Linked DNA regions of Caenorhabditis elegans. The protein of the gene in region 2 interacts with the protein of the main gene of each other region in a pairwise test. Each region holds a gene or a part of one and is shown on either strand. Other genes may lie near its edges.

The links. Proteins that work in one complex are often made in the same cells at the same time.
Region 1: the proteins of tyr-1 (region 2) and par-2 interact in a two-hybrid assay, tested with the Caenorhabditis elegans proteins (one study listed by BioGRID).

The regions. Positions count from the first base shown.
Region 1 is NC_003281.10:1,078,727-1,085,184, reverse strand, and holds the start of par-2 (RING-type domain-containing protein), read right to left. Parts: upstream 3,791-6,458; 5' UTR 3,777-3,790; coding exon 3,666-3,776; intron 3,553-3,665; coding exon 3,469-3,552; intron 2,192-3,468; coding exon 2,054-2,191; intron 1,124-2,053; coding exon 1,052-1,123; intron 849-1,051; coding exon 724-848; intron 1-723. Other genes in the region: kbp-4 (KNL (kinetochore null) Binding Protein), read right to left, coding at 3,927-4,030, 4,076-4,265; Ras-related protein Rab-18, read left to right, coding at 4,704-4,780, 4,843-4,898, 4,974-5,227, 5,279-5,503.
Region 2 is NC_003281.10:7,871,277-7,878,730, forward strand, and holds tyr-1 (Putative tyrosinase-like protein tyr-1), read left to right. Parts: upstream 1-2,504; 5' UTR 2,505-2,510; coding exon 2,511-2,607; intron 2,608-2,766; coding exon 2,767-2,951; intron 2,952-3,386; coding exon 3,387-3,457; intron 3,458-3,507; coding exon 3,508-3,977; intron 3,978-4,026; coding exon 4,027-4,217; intron 4,218-4,263; coding exon 4,264-4,351; intron 4,352-4,491; coding exon 4,492-4,724; intron 4,725-4,847; coding exon 4,848-4,946; intron 4,947-4,993; coding exon 4,994-5,123; intron 5,124-5,344; coding exon 5,345-5,586; 3' UTR 5,587-5,918; downstream 5,919-7,454. Other genes in the region: sup-18 (Iodotyrosine dehalogenase 1 homolog), read right to left, coding at 5,990-6,085, 6,132-6,314, 6,365-6,464, 6,703-6,826, 6,872-7,022, 7,092-7,169, 7,215-7,310, 7,357-7,454.

The sequences.
Region 1 (6,458 bases), 6.8 Mb from region 2:
AATTATCGATTTTTTAAAACGCGCGTTTTAATTGGGCGAAAATTGAATTTTAAACTCAAATTTTCAGGTTTTTGACCGAAAAATCGGATTTTTCCGCAATTTTTATAGTTTTTTTCCCGAAAAATCAAATTTTTGAACAGAATTTCAGATTTTTAGCAGGAAAAATTAGGAAAATCACATTTTTCTATGAGATTTACTCTTTTTTCGCTGAAAAATTAGGTTTTTTTCAGAGAAAATCGCATTTTTTGGTTGAAAAATTGAGTTTTAAGCTCAAAAATTGAGGTTTTTGACTGAAAAATCGAATTTTTCTGCAATTTTTACAGTTTTCATTAGAAATGTTAGCATTTTTCGCAAAAATTTGATTTTTAATTGGATTTTTTTTTTATTTTTTCTCCAATTTGTTGGGTTTAAAGTGGATTTTTCTCCGGAAAAATCAGGAAATTTACATTTTTCTCTGAGATTTACTCATTTATAGTTGAAAAATTAGGTTTTTTTCAGGGAAAATCACATTTTTACAGGGAAAAATTGAGTTTTAAGCTCAAAAATTGAGGTTTTTGACTGAAAAATCGAATTTTTCTGCATTTTTTTCGCTTTTTTTAACTGAAAAATTGACTTTTTTGGCTGAAAATCGAAGATTTTTACTGAAATTCAGCGATTTTTCCATATTTTTAGCTGAAATTTCCAGATTTTCAGCCTTTTTTCAGCTCTTTTCCAGCCATCTACCTCGAGCAAATCGTTGGGCCCGCAATTGAGAAGAATAAGCGTCGTTTAGACCGTTGTGACAGGCTTCTCGTCATTTTTTGAGCCGGAATTTCCTCCGAAATTGGTGGTGTTGGCGCTTTTTGGAGCTGAAAATAGTGAAAAATCCGGGTTTTTAGGGGGTAAAAATTGGGAAAATCGGGGGTTTTTAAGCTTTAAAAAAAGTGGAAAACCACGATTTTTCAACTGAAAATGGTGAAAAAACCCGACTTTTGGGGTCAAAAACACCTAATTTTCATGATTTTTTCACTCAAAAACCCTGAAAATTCGCATTTTCCTGCAAAAACTCAACCTTTTCCTCACAAATGAACAAATCGTCGTAGCTGCTCTCGATATTCTCCTGGTTTTTCAATTTTCGGACCATCTGAAACGAAAATTCGTTGAATGTTTTGGTATTTTTCTGCGAAAAAATGCAAAAATTTGAGATTTTAGCTAGAAAATTGGGTTTTTGAGCTAAAAATTGCAAAAATTTTGGATTTTTAACTGAAAAATCGGGATTTTGAGATTAAAACTGGGTTTTCAAGGTAAAAATTGCAAAAAATTGATATTTTTGCAAGAAAATCGCAATTTTTTTTGACTAAAATTAAGTTTTTCGGCGAAAAAATGCAAAAATTTGGGATTTTTAGCTGGAAAATCGGGATTTTGAGATTAAAATTGAGTTTTTCTGCGAAAAATGCGAAAAATAGCTTCAAAATCAAAATTTTCAGGGCTTCCAACAGATTTTTACCCTGAAAATGGAGAATTTTAACCCAAAAATTCATAATTTTTTAGGTTTTCCTATGAAAAAGTTTATTTTTAGGTCAAAATTCCGGTTTTTCAGTGTAAAAACCAACGAAAATCAAGAAATTTTAGATGTAAAAGTCAACATTTTTCTGAATTTTCGGCAAGATTTTCAAGGAAAAATCGGATTTTTGACCGAAAATGCATAATTTATAAGTTGAAAAATGTATTTTTGTGGTTTTTTTGGCTGAAAAATATCAAGTTTTCCACGGGAAAATGTGATTTTTAAGTCAAAATCTCGGCCTTTAAGGCTAAAAACTTTCGAAAATTGAATTTTAAGCCAAAACTATGCTTTTTATGGCTGAAAATGCAATTTTTAGTCACAAAATTCAAAATTTTGAGGAAAAAATCGGGTTTTTAAGCGTATTTTTGTAGTTTTTGCCGTGAAAAATCGTTTTTTCGGACTAAAATTAGAGTTTTTTGGCTGACAAATGCGATTTTAAGGTAAAAATCCACGGTTTTCCGGGGTAAAAACTGTCGAAAAATCCGAATTTCGCATCAAAATCCGTCGTACATTATCAAGTGTAATGCTGGGAATCATCGCTGCAAATGGTCCAACGTCGAGTTTACAGATTACACAGGCTCTCGTATCACGTGTATGTCGTTCGATGCACGGCTCACAGTACGAGTGCCCACATGTTACCATTACGGGCTGAAAATTTGGAAAAATTGGCTGAAAATTGTAAAAATTAGGGTAGAAATGGGGTTTTTCGGCTGAAAATCGAAAAAATCGGCGGAAAACTGGGATTTTTGACATAAAAATTGGAAAAATCCGGGAAAATTGATGGTTTTTGGGCTAAAAATCGGAAAACTCCGCTGAAAAACTGGGGTTTCTTGAGCTAAAAATCTGGGAAAATGGGTGATTTTTGAGATGAAAAACGTAAAAAAACGGGAGAAAACTGTGTAGTTTTTGGGCTAAAAATTGTAAAAATCCTGAGAAACCGAGATTTTTGGGTTAAAAATCGGGAAAATCCTGGGAAAAATCGGTGATTTTTGAGCTAAAAATTGTGTAAAAATCGGCAGAAATCGGTGTGATTTTTGGGTTAAAATTGTAAAAATCCGGAAAAATTTGGATTTTTCGGCTGAAAATTGAAAAAAATCTTAAAATATTGAAGTTTTTTGAGCAAAAAATTGGAAAAATCTGGAAAAATGGGAGGTTTTTGAGCTGAAAATCGAAAAAAATCGGTTATTTTTGAGCTAAAATCAGAAAAATCCGAAAAAAATCGGTTATTTTTGAGCTAAAATCAGAAAAATCCGAAAAAATTGGGGTTTTTTGGGCTAAAAATTGTAAAAGTCCGGAAAAATTGTGGGTTTCGAGCTAAAAATCGTTAAAATATGGGAAAAACTGGAGTTTTTTGGCTAAAAACCGAAAAAATCCGGCAAAATTGGGGTTTTTAGGGCTAAAAATCGGAAAAATCCAAAATTTTAAGCTAAAATCTGTAAAAATCCGAGAAAAACTGGGGTTTCTGAGCTGAAAATCGAAAAAAATCTGAAAAATTGTGGTTTTTAAGCTAAAAACTGTAAAAATCCGAGAAAAACTGGGGTTTTTGTGCTGAAAATCTTAAAAATCCAAAGTTTTTAGTCTAAAAATCGTAAAAATCGGCAAAAAACTGTAAAAATCCGAGAAAATCTGTGATTATTATGCTAAAAATCGGAAAAAATGCGGTTTTCTAGCTAAAAATCCCCAAAAAATCGTGATTTTTGGCTGAAAATCTGGAAAAATGGGCAAAAACAAGACAATTTTCGGAATTTCAAGTTTTTATGAGAAAATTTCGCATTTTTCCCCGATTTTTCACATTTATAGCTGGAAAAAGACGAAAATTGCACATTTTTGGGTCAAAAATGGGTAAAATTAAGCGATTTTTAATGGAAAATCCGCCATTTTTCACGCAATTTTTCTTGAAATCCTCGGTATTTCCATGTTCTAACCCTGTCGAAAAGCTGATCACACAGTGGACAGAGGAGTTCCGAGCTCAAATCGCGTCGAACCGGCTGTTGAACGTCGTTGATGCACTGAAAATTGTGTTTTTAGGCGGTTTCCAGGGCGAAAAACACGATTTTCTGCTTATTTTCCAGCAAAAAATGCGTTTTTTCGATTTTTTTCGCCGCTAAAAATCCGATTTTACCGCTGTAGAAGTAGTTGCGTTGGACTCCAGCAGACGTGGCGATGAGTTGGCAATCGATAAATCGCTCTGCGAAGCCCGTATTTGAGCGGATGAAGTGTCTAAATCCGTCATTTTTGGGCTGAAAATGAGGATTTTGAGCCTGAAAAATCATTGAAAAACGCTGAAAAATAAGTATAAAATGCATGAAAAGTACAGAAAACTGGGAAAAACAACGGGGTTAAGGAATACAGAACTTTATATGTACAGAAATAATGAAAATTGTTAGAAAATTTCCTCGGCGACCTTCTTCAGCTCATCCTGAAACTCTTTTTGAAGAGAAAACGCGAATTCCTTGACTTTATACTGCTCCTGGAGGTCTTCGAGTTCTAGGAAATGGGAAAATTATTGTGAAAATTCACTAAATTTCTCACGTTTTTCCACCAATTTTCGCTTCTCGAGCGTCTCCTCCAGCTTCCGATCGGCCTCGTCCATTTCCTTGTTAATTATCTGCAGTTTGGAGGCGCAAACTTCTTGGAGATCCGAAAAATCTTGGGTTTTCGGCAGTTTTTCGACTTTTACCGCGAGAACTTCGTTGATCATGTCGTCGATTGATTTTTGCATTTTTTTTGATTGCTGAAAACTGATAAAAATTTGGAAAAATTATAAAAAACAAAAAAAATAAAAATAAAAAACACGAAAAACGTTTAAAAATTAAAAAAACAAAAAAACAAATTTCAAACAAATCCATTTTCGCGCCATCGGGTCTCACCACGACAGGCACTTGGCATCGTGCCAAGTGCAAGTGCGCTCCATCGCTCTCTTTTCCGAAAGAGCGTCTCGTGCAACGACATCTGACATTTTCGAAGGGAAATTTATTGATTTTTCGGCAAATTTTTGGGTTTTAAGGTGAAAAATCTATTTAAAAGTGTTAAAAAATTAACTTAAAATGGGGAAAATACCCTGAAAAATCGAGTTTTTTATCTTTTATCCTTAAAAACGTAAATTTCCCAACAAAAAAAAAATTATCCTGCATTTTCCCTTCGTTTTTACGAATTCCAGATGTCCGACGACAGTTCAAGCCCCCTCACAACTCTCAAAATCCTGATTATCGGCGAAAGTGGCGTAGGGAAGTCGAGGTGAGGGGTTTTCTCGCCCAAAAAAAATTTAAAAAAATCAATTTAAATTCAAAAATTTTCAGCTTAATGCTACGATTCGTGGACGATGTCTTCGATCCTGAGCAGGCTGCAACGATAGGTTCGTGGAAATTCCAGGGATTTTTGGATTTTTTGATTTTTAGGCCAAAAAAACCCTAAATTTATTGTTTTTTAGGCGTGGATTTCCGCGTAACTTCAATGGCAATCGACGGAAATCGTGTAAAACTCGCAATTTGGGACACCGCCGGCCAGGAGAGGTTCCGTACCCTCACGCCGAGCTATTATCGTGGAGCACAGGGCGTAATTTGCGTGTATGACGTCACTAGCCGCAGCTCCTTCGAGAAATTGAATCATTGGATGCAAGAAGTCGATACTTATTGCACAAATGACAATATTATCAAGATGATGGTCGCGAACAAGATTGATATGGTGCGAAAAAGCCGATTTTGTTCGATTTTTGGCCTAAAAAATAATTTTCAGCCAAATCGAGTGGTAACCCGCGAGGAAGGCCTAAAATTCGCAAAACGCCACCGCACACTATTCATTGAAGCTTCTGCGAAGACTAAGGAGGGTGTACAGTGCACATTTGAGGAGCTTATCGAGAAAATCATTCAAACGCCCGACTTATGGGACAATGACCGCCCGTCTTTTCGGTTGGGACAACCGACGGGCTCCAGTGGTGGCGGCGGAATGTGTGGATGCTAGGAAATTCTCGCGGAAAATTCGTTCATTTTGACATAAAATCGATATTTTTACTGTAAAATTCATCAATTTTCACCTAAAATCCTGTTTTTTTCATGTAAATTGTCAAAATTTGACCTAAAATCCTGTTTTTTCCATGTAAAAACGTGAATTTCGGTTTAAAATCGCCAATTTTCCCTCAAAATCGCCGTTTTTTCCATATAAAAATGTCCAACTTTGGCTTAAAATCGCTGGTTTTTCATGCAAAGTTTATCGATTTTAACCTAAATTAGGCCTTTTTCCATGTAAAAATGCAAATTTTCCCCTAAAATCGCCAATTTCCCAGCAAAATCGCTGTTTTCGATGCAAAATTCATCAATTTTCACCTAAAATAGCCCGTTTTTTTTCATGTAAATTGCCAAATTTTGACCTAAAATAACCATTTTTTCATGTAAAATCGCCGATTTTGGCTTAAAATCGCAAATTTTCCCCCATAATGGCCGTTTTTCATGGAAAATCGCCGATTTTGGCTTAAAATCGCCAATTTCCCATCAAAATCGCTGTTTTCGATGCAAAATTTATCGATTTTCACCTAAAATAGCTATTTTTCCCTGTAAAAATGTCAATTTTGACTTGAAATTGCCAATTTTCACCTGAAATCCCCGTTTTTCATTCAAAATTTATCGATTTTCACCTAAAATAGCTATTTTCCATGAGGAAATGTCGATTTTGGCTTAAAATTGCCACTTTTTCATGTAAAAATGTCAATTTTTCTCAAAAATCGCCGTTTTTCGTGCAAAATTTATCGATTTTCATCTAAAAAAGCTATTTTCCATACAAAAATACCAATTTTGGCTTAAAATTGCCACACTTTTTCATGTAAAAATGCCATTTTTTCCATGTAAAAACGACAATTTTCCCCCAAAATCGCTGTTTTCCATGTAAAATTACCAATTTCGGCTCAAAATTTCCAATTTTC
Region 2 (7,454 bases):
AAAACCATTCCTTGGTACTTACACGGAATTTAACTTTTAACATCATGTGACAAGAGAAAAACAGTCTAAAAGTGCACTAGACATACGTTGTCAATTACACAAAAAGATAAGACTCCGCCCACTCTTATAACTGACCTCCAAAGTAGAAGTCAGAGGTCATCAAAATGATAGTGACCCAGCAGTTCTTATTAATTTTTCATTTTTGTCAAGTATCATAGTTTGATTTCAAAACCAAGGGATTTCTAAAAATATTCTTGTTATTTTCTCACTGTCGAAGTTTGTTCGTTTACTGAATTTGTAAAAAAAAAAAGTAAAATGTAGGTGAAGGTTGTGTCGTATCACTAGAAATTGATGCATATCTTTTATCAAACACGAACTTCCGATTTTTCTGCAAAAATGCTATCCTGATTTTGATTTTATCCACATACAAACTTTTTCATGTTCCGTTCAAGATTAAAATTTTGAAAAGCAATCCACAGTAGTTTCCCTTACTCGTTCTGGATGTTTTGTTTTGGTTTAGTTCCGGTTTTCATTGGATAATTTGAACTCCCTCTCTTTTTCCCCACATCGCCATACCACTACATCAACACCCACAATAGTTTTTTGCTTCGAAAACTGAAAGAGTAACCAGGTTTGTAACCGACCGGTTCGAGACCCAGTGGGCATTTCTTTTTTTGCGATTTCATAGATTTTATAAAATACTAATTACTATTCCCAAATGGAATTACTAAAAGGCGAAAGTGGTCATTTTGTCGCTGCCCGATCACCTTGAACTTTGAATTTTATTTGTTTTTCTCAAAATTTCTCGCATTTTTTTCGGCATGTTTTTCTATATAATTCGTGACTTTTGCGGATTGATACTTTAAGACTACAAGGTTAGAAAGAAGAGAAAAATGTTATTTAAAAATCACCTAATTTCCAAAAATCTAACAATAGAGAAAGTTCATGAAAGACTAATTTAGAAGAAGGCTTGATCAGGCTAAATGATAAGGCTCAGGTATGTAATAGTTCAGGTTAAGCTTGAAAACTTGAAAACTTCAAAATAACAAGAAAAGGTTCTAAATTTACACTCAGCCTTCTTGACGAGTCATGTTTTAGTTAACACCTCAAATTTCGATCAGAAATTTTTCAGTACCTGTATGTAGAATTGTTCCAAAATCTTTTTTTTTGTGGGTTTTTGATTTTGTAGGATGCTTAATAATTAGGTGATCATTCTGGAAGTTTTTTTCAATTTTTAATATTCTGAAAAAGTCTGAAAACATTCTTGCACAGCTATTTAAACTTCAGGCTTACATCTTTTTTCCAAAAAAGAAAAGATTTTAAAGAAAATGTTGAGCATAGCATAGCAAAGCTAGTTTTTGACCTAAATAAAATTAAGAGTTGCTCGCGGTACTTTTTCAAATATTTTTGAACTCTGAAAAAAAAAATTCTGAAATTCATATCTGCAAGGTTTCCCTAGTTGACCTACTAGACATTTGACTATTTACTGACTCATTCTATGTAATTGTTTCTAGGCCGTGATCGTCGCGCAATCATCAAATTGACGTCAATCTTTTCACGAATTCTATCCGTTTTTTTCTTCAAATTTTAGGGTTTTCTCGAGGTGATCTTATCATTTTTTTTTTCTCTTGAATCTTTCCTCGCAACCATCATGTGTTCGCCAAACAATTGGCTCCACCCCCTCCGACGCGTGAACTTTCGAAACTGAATTGAATCAACAATTAGCATCTGAACGAGGAATCCCAAAGAAACCGGCAAAATTTAATAAAATAGCGCAAAATTAAGAGAGGGTGGACAGAGAAATGAGCTATTTTTGTAGTTTTGAGGTAGAAGGTGTAAATAAAAAGAATACGCAATCGAGACGCACGAAGGTCAATTCGAATGGAATTTCTTATACTGTCTCCCAATATTGTATACACTCTCGTTTTTCACTTTTAGCTAGAAGAGAAAAGTGGGAGGCAATGGTCAGAATTGGAAATTCTGAATTATTCGGTCACTTTTTCAAATCATGGTAGAAGGTTTTGAGAGATTTTTTTAAAATGAATACCTAAAAATCTAGGACTACTTTCAGCACTTTCAGTAGCATTCTGTCAACTTTTCAACTTCGACTACCAAACTTTTGTGGAACATTGTTTACTTTCAGTCTAACGTTGCCAACTTTCTCTCTAACTTTGAAAGCTTCCCGTCTCTAGTTGTGAACTTTCTGTAGCACATTGCTTAGCCTATTTGAAAGGACAATCGTTTTAGTAGAATATAGTTGAGATATCAAAATGTACAGATAATGATTTTTTAATCAAGTTGTATTTCTTGTTGTCTATTTTCATTCCTTGTCAACATTCTTACATAAAAATCAATCACTAAACATTTTACCAGAAGGTCAAACCAAATTTTCACCAGAAATGATTTTTTGGAGAACATTACCAAGTTCGGATTTTTTATTTGGTTCCTCATGGTCATCCTCGTCATCTATTTTTATTTTATGCTCTCAAAAGATCCCTTTTCAGACAAAAATGGGTCGGCTTCGTGCCTTCCTTTTGTTTTCCGGCACACTGGCAGTTATTAGCACAGTACATGCCGACTTTAATTGCTCACAGGCTCCTGATTCAGGTAGGGTATTCAGAATACTTTTGCAAAAAATAAATTGACTATTTTATAAGTTTCTTAATGTTTCTCACAACTAGGTTTAAAAGTATAAAAAATTTAGAAAACATAAAACAATTACCAATTCCTTTCCTTTTCAAAAAACAAAGAATAAAAAATTTTCAGACATGGTCCAAACATGCCATATGCTCCAAGAATGGGACAGTGCTGCACGGAAGGCAATTAGAAAACGGCAGGCATTCAATGCAGGTGCTCCAGGAGTTCAGGGGTTTTCTCCATCAAATCCACCACGATTTGCTCCATCAGCTCAAGGATGCATGAATATAGCATGCATCTGTCCGTATATGGGGGTTTGTTTGAATGTTACTTTCATTTTTACTACTTGGCATTTGTTTTCAACTTCTTGTCTAGTCTGTCTAGGCTCAAAAAATATTACCTTGATTCCGAAGTTGCTGAAGTTCGTTCAAGCTATCCTCAAGATAAACCTAAGTTTAATCTTACTCTTGTCAAAATTAGTTCCTAAATAATTTTCTTTAGATCAAACTTGGGCAAAATTTAGGTTTGTCTTAAACCTAATTTTGGCAAATTCTGAATCAAGTTAATATTTTTTATACCACTTGTTCAAAAAGTTTGTACCAAGTGCGAAGTAACTGTGCATTTTAAACTATTTAAATCGTACATTCCTCGCGCCATTATACTTCTGGCAATCTAAGATGTTTCCAAGAAGAAATGTTCAAGACAAAATGCTTGAAAAACAAAAATAAAACAAAATTTAAAAATTCTAGGGACGAATGGCAAATGGATGTATCCTACCAAATGGGCAACCTTACTTAATGGCATATAGAAAAGAGTATAGGTATTACATATTTCATCTAATTTACAAAAAATTTACAAACAAAATTTTAGAATGATGTCAGATAACGAACGACAACGGTGGCACAATGCCCTAATACAATTGAAACGTTCAGGAGAATACGATCGTCTTTCAGTAATGCATCGACAAGTTGGCTCAGCCTCCGGAGCTCATTCCGGTCCAGGCTTCCTTGTCTGGCATAGAGAATACATGAAAAGAATGGAAATTGCTCTTAGAATGATTGATCCAGGAATATCTATGCCATATTGGGATTCTGTTCTAGAATCATATCTTCCCGATCCAAGAGACTCTATTATGTTTGGACCACAATTTATGGGAATGACTGATGCTTCTGGTCAATTGGTTAGTGGTCCATTTGCTGGATTCAGAACACTTGAAGGAAGGCCTAATATTATTAGAAGAATGGCTACTGAAGGGAAAATGTTCACTGAACAAAATATTAATAATTTGATGGCACAAAATGATTTGGTTAGCGTAATGGCTTTCACTGCTCCACAAGGAGGTAATCTATTTATTTATCGAATTTTACTTAAAATTTTGAAATATTGCAGGATGCCCATTCCGTCCCTATTTTGGAGCGCTTGAGTATACTCATGCATCAATTCATTTATGGATGGGCGGAGACATGAAACCACCATCAACATCTGCAAATGACCCAGTCTTCTTCCTCCATCACACATTTGTCGATTTTATTTGGGAAATGTGGAGACAAAATCACCAGAATAGATTTGCAAGAGAAAATGTTCGTTAAAGTTATGAAAAATTACTGTAAAAAGATTTATTTTCAGCAATATCCACCAGACATTGCCGCTTGTGCCAATTCTCAACACTTCAGTTATGCTCAAATGAGACCTTGGGATAAAATTAATCGTGATGGTAAGTTTGCTCTATTATGCTGTCTGGAAAGTCTACTGGAAAGTGTGAATTAATTGACTAGCATACTAAAACAACGATTCCAGATTATTTTTAACTTTGTAAAAAATTTGAAAGTGTAAAAAGTTTCCAATTTTCTTCAGGTCTCTCGAATGCCTACACTGATAATTTGTATCACTATGCTCCTCGTCCAACGTGTAACCGTAATAATGCCAACTGCGGATCTCAATATCTGTTCTGTGATACACGTGGCAATCCACATTGCGTGGCAAAGGTGAAGCCAGGTGGTTTGTGCCGTGGATTCGAAGGATTAGATTCTTGTTACATGGGTACATGTGTTGCTGGATGGTGTAGAGGTGGACAACAGTTCCAACAGGTACGACAACTTTTTATGTAGCTTAAGTTTCAGATTTTTTGAACATGAATCCATACTTGATAAAAATTTCAATTATATACTTTTATACCCGTATTAAAAAAACTCAAACATTAATATTTTTAGCCAGCGCAAACCACTGCAGTGGCTACTGTTCAACAACCTCAGCAGCAGCCCCAGCAACAGCAACCACAGCAACAGAGACCAGCCACAACCCCACAATCTGTAAGCTAATCCTCACTGGAACACGTGCAAAATGTCTAATATTTCAGAATTGCTACAACGAAGATCCATGCTGTAATCAGTGGTCTCGTCAGAATGAGTGTCGAACAAATACAGTTTACATGAATAGATATTGTAGGAAATCTTGTGGATTGTGTCAGTCTAATGATAACAATAGAGGTGTGTTTTGAGTAGCAAAAATGGGATATTTTATAAAATCTCAACGAGCAGGTGTATCTAGAAATTCCCAGAGAGGCCTCCCCGTCTACCTAAAATGAAAACCTAGTTTCTAATAGTTAGTCTCAACTGGGTGGAATTACTTGAGTCAATTTTGAAATATTTTGCGTTTTATCATAATAATCGAAAACTTCCTATGTAATTATAAAACCAAATGAGTTCAGGATGTCATGATCGTCACATATCTTGTGCCTACTGGCGTGGACAGAACTTCTGTACCCGCCGTCGTCAATGGATGGCTGAAAATTGTCAAGCAACATGTGGATGGTGCAATATGAACGAAGCTCAATTATGTGCATCAGTTGCTCGTCAATCAAGAAGAGTTCGAAGAAATGCAAAGTTCTGGCTCACTGAGCCAGATGCAGATGACTTTGTTGATGATTTTATGCTTGATTATGGACGATAATCACTTTTCGAAATTTTTTAAAAATCTTTACTGAAAATTGTCATTTTCACCCAACCAATGTGTATCACATTCTCTCTACGTGTCGTTTTCCTTCCCAAAATCCTTCCGAACTTTCTTCAAAACAATTTCACACCTGCCGAAATCACAGTTGATCCGGGTTTTTGTACAAACTGATTTCCAACACCCCCTGCCCCTGATTTGTTTTCTTATTTTCCAAGAAAATTAATAAAATATGTTTGATCTTTTTTTAAAGCTTGTAACCTGCCCTTAATATAAACCAGTGTAACTATTAAAAATCGTACGAGTTTCTAATAAAAATAAACCCTGATTTTATTAAGAAAAATGAATTTCAAATGTTAAAAAATCTGAAAGGAACATGGGAGATGAAAAGTGAATGACAAAATCAATATAGTTTGGTGATATGTTCGACCGGTTTTCTTTTGAGATCTGGAACAAGCACGTCTTCTGACGCATAACCAAGAGGAAGTAGCAGTAGTATCTGCAATTAACCACTTGGATTGTACTATACTCTATCATCTGCTTACACTTTCATTCTCAGGCCTCCTCAATATTCTTGAAATATCGGGTCCTGCATTCAACGGTGACGTCACTACAGTACTCAATCCAACATTCTGAATTGCAGCCAAAAGGATGCCAACAGCAATTGATGTGCTTATTTGATTATAGTGGAATACCCGTTCTGTTTTACTATGCACGTCACGAAATATCTGAAAACCAGATGTTTGAGGATTGATTTTAAGATTGTTTTGAATCAAACCTCATGACAAACAATTAATAGATATGGAGCATCTGTAATGTATGGCCTCCGCCACGTGTCTTGTAATTGTGATACATCAACTACCCAAGAAGCTCCTTTTCTGGAAAGAAGTCTTTTAAAATCAGTTTTCGTAGATGAATTAGCCTCACAGTCCTTTCCCTGTATATTTACGATTTTTTGGCTTTTTTTTTGATTTGACTATTTTTTAAATAAAACCTTTTTATCACTGGACCGAACTTTCTACGTTTTAATAGTTACGGCTTTCATCTTTAAAGCACAACTTTTACCCAAAAATATGAGACTGGTTGAAGACCTGGCAAAGATGAAAAATAACTCACTTTCTAGAGACATAGTTATCCCGTTCGTCCGCTTCTAAGATTTTCCTGATCATTGTTTTAATTGAATCACTTGAAACAACACAAAACGTCCATGGTTGAAGATTTCCAACACTCGGAGATGTGCCTGAAAATGAGTGACTATAATTGTTATCATTTCTTTAGTTCTTACCAGCCGTTTTTAATAAATTTTGAATAACTTTTAATGGTACATCCCTTGAGCTGAACTGTCGACAACTTCTCCTCATCTTCATCTCTTCGTAGAAAATTTGAGAATTCCGAAGAGTGATGTCATCGTTTATCACTGGCATGCGGTATGGAATCTGAAAATAAAAATATTTTTTAGCGCTAAAGCTGAAGATTTCCCCAAATTTCATTAAAACTAAACAAACCATTCTCTCTCTGATGACATTTTCATGAAGATCTGTAAAAACCATTTCATCTCCAACATGTTTATCTGCAACTTCAACCTGAAAACATTCACTGTTTCATATATTAAAAACAAAAATAGTCACTTTTCGTTGTTTTGTTCTACTCTCCAACTGCTTCTCAACTCGTTTGTTCATTCGATGAAGTAGAGAAGCAACTTGGTAGATCACAAATAGAATTACCTGAAATCACAAATTTCAGCACATTATCTGATTTTGAAAAATTTACTCCTAATGTGAACAAGACATTTAGAACAGCTTCTGAAGAGTGTCCTTGATTTCCAAATGAGTTTAGCCATAATTTGATTGATTGTAAATCGATTAAAG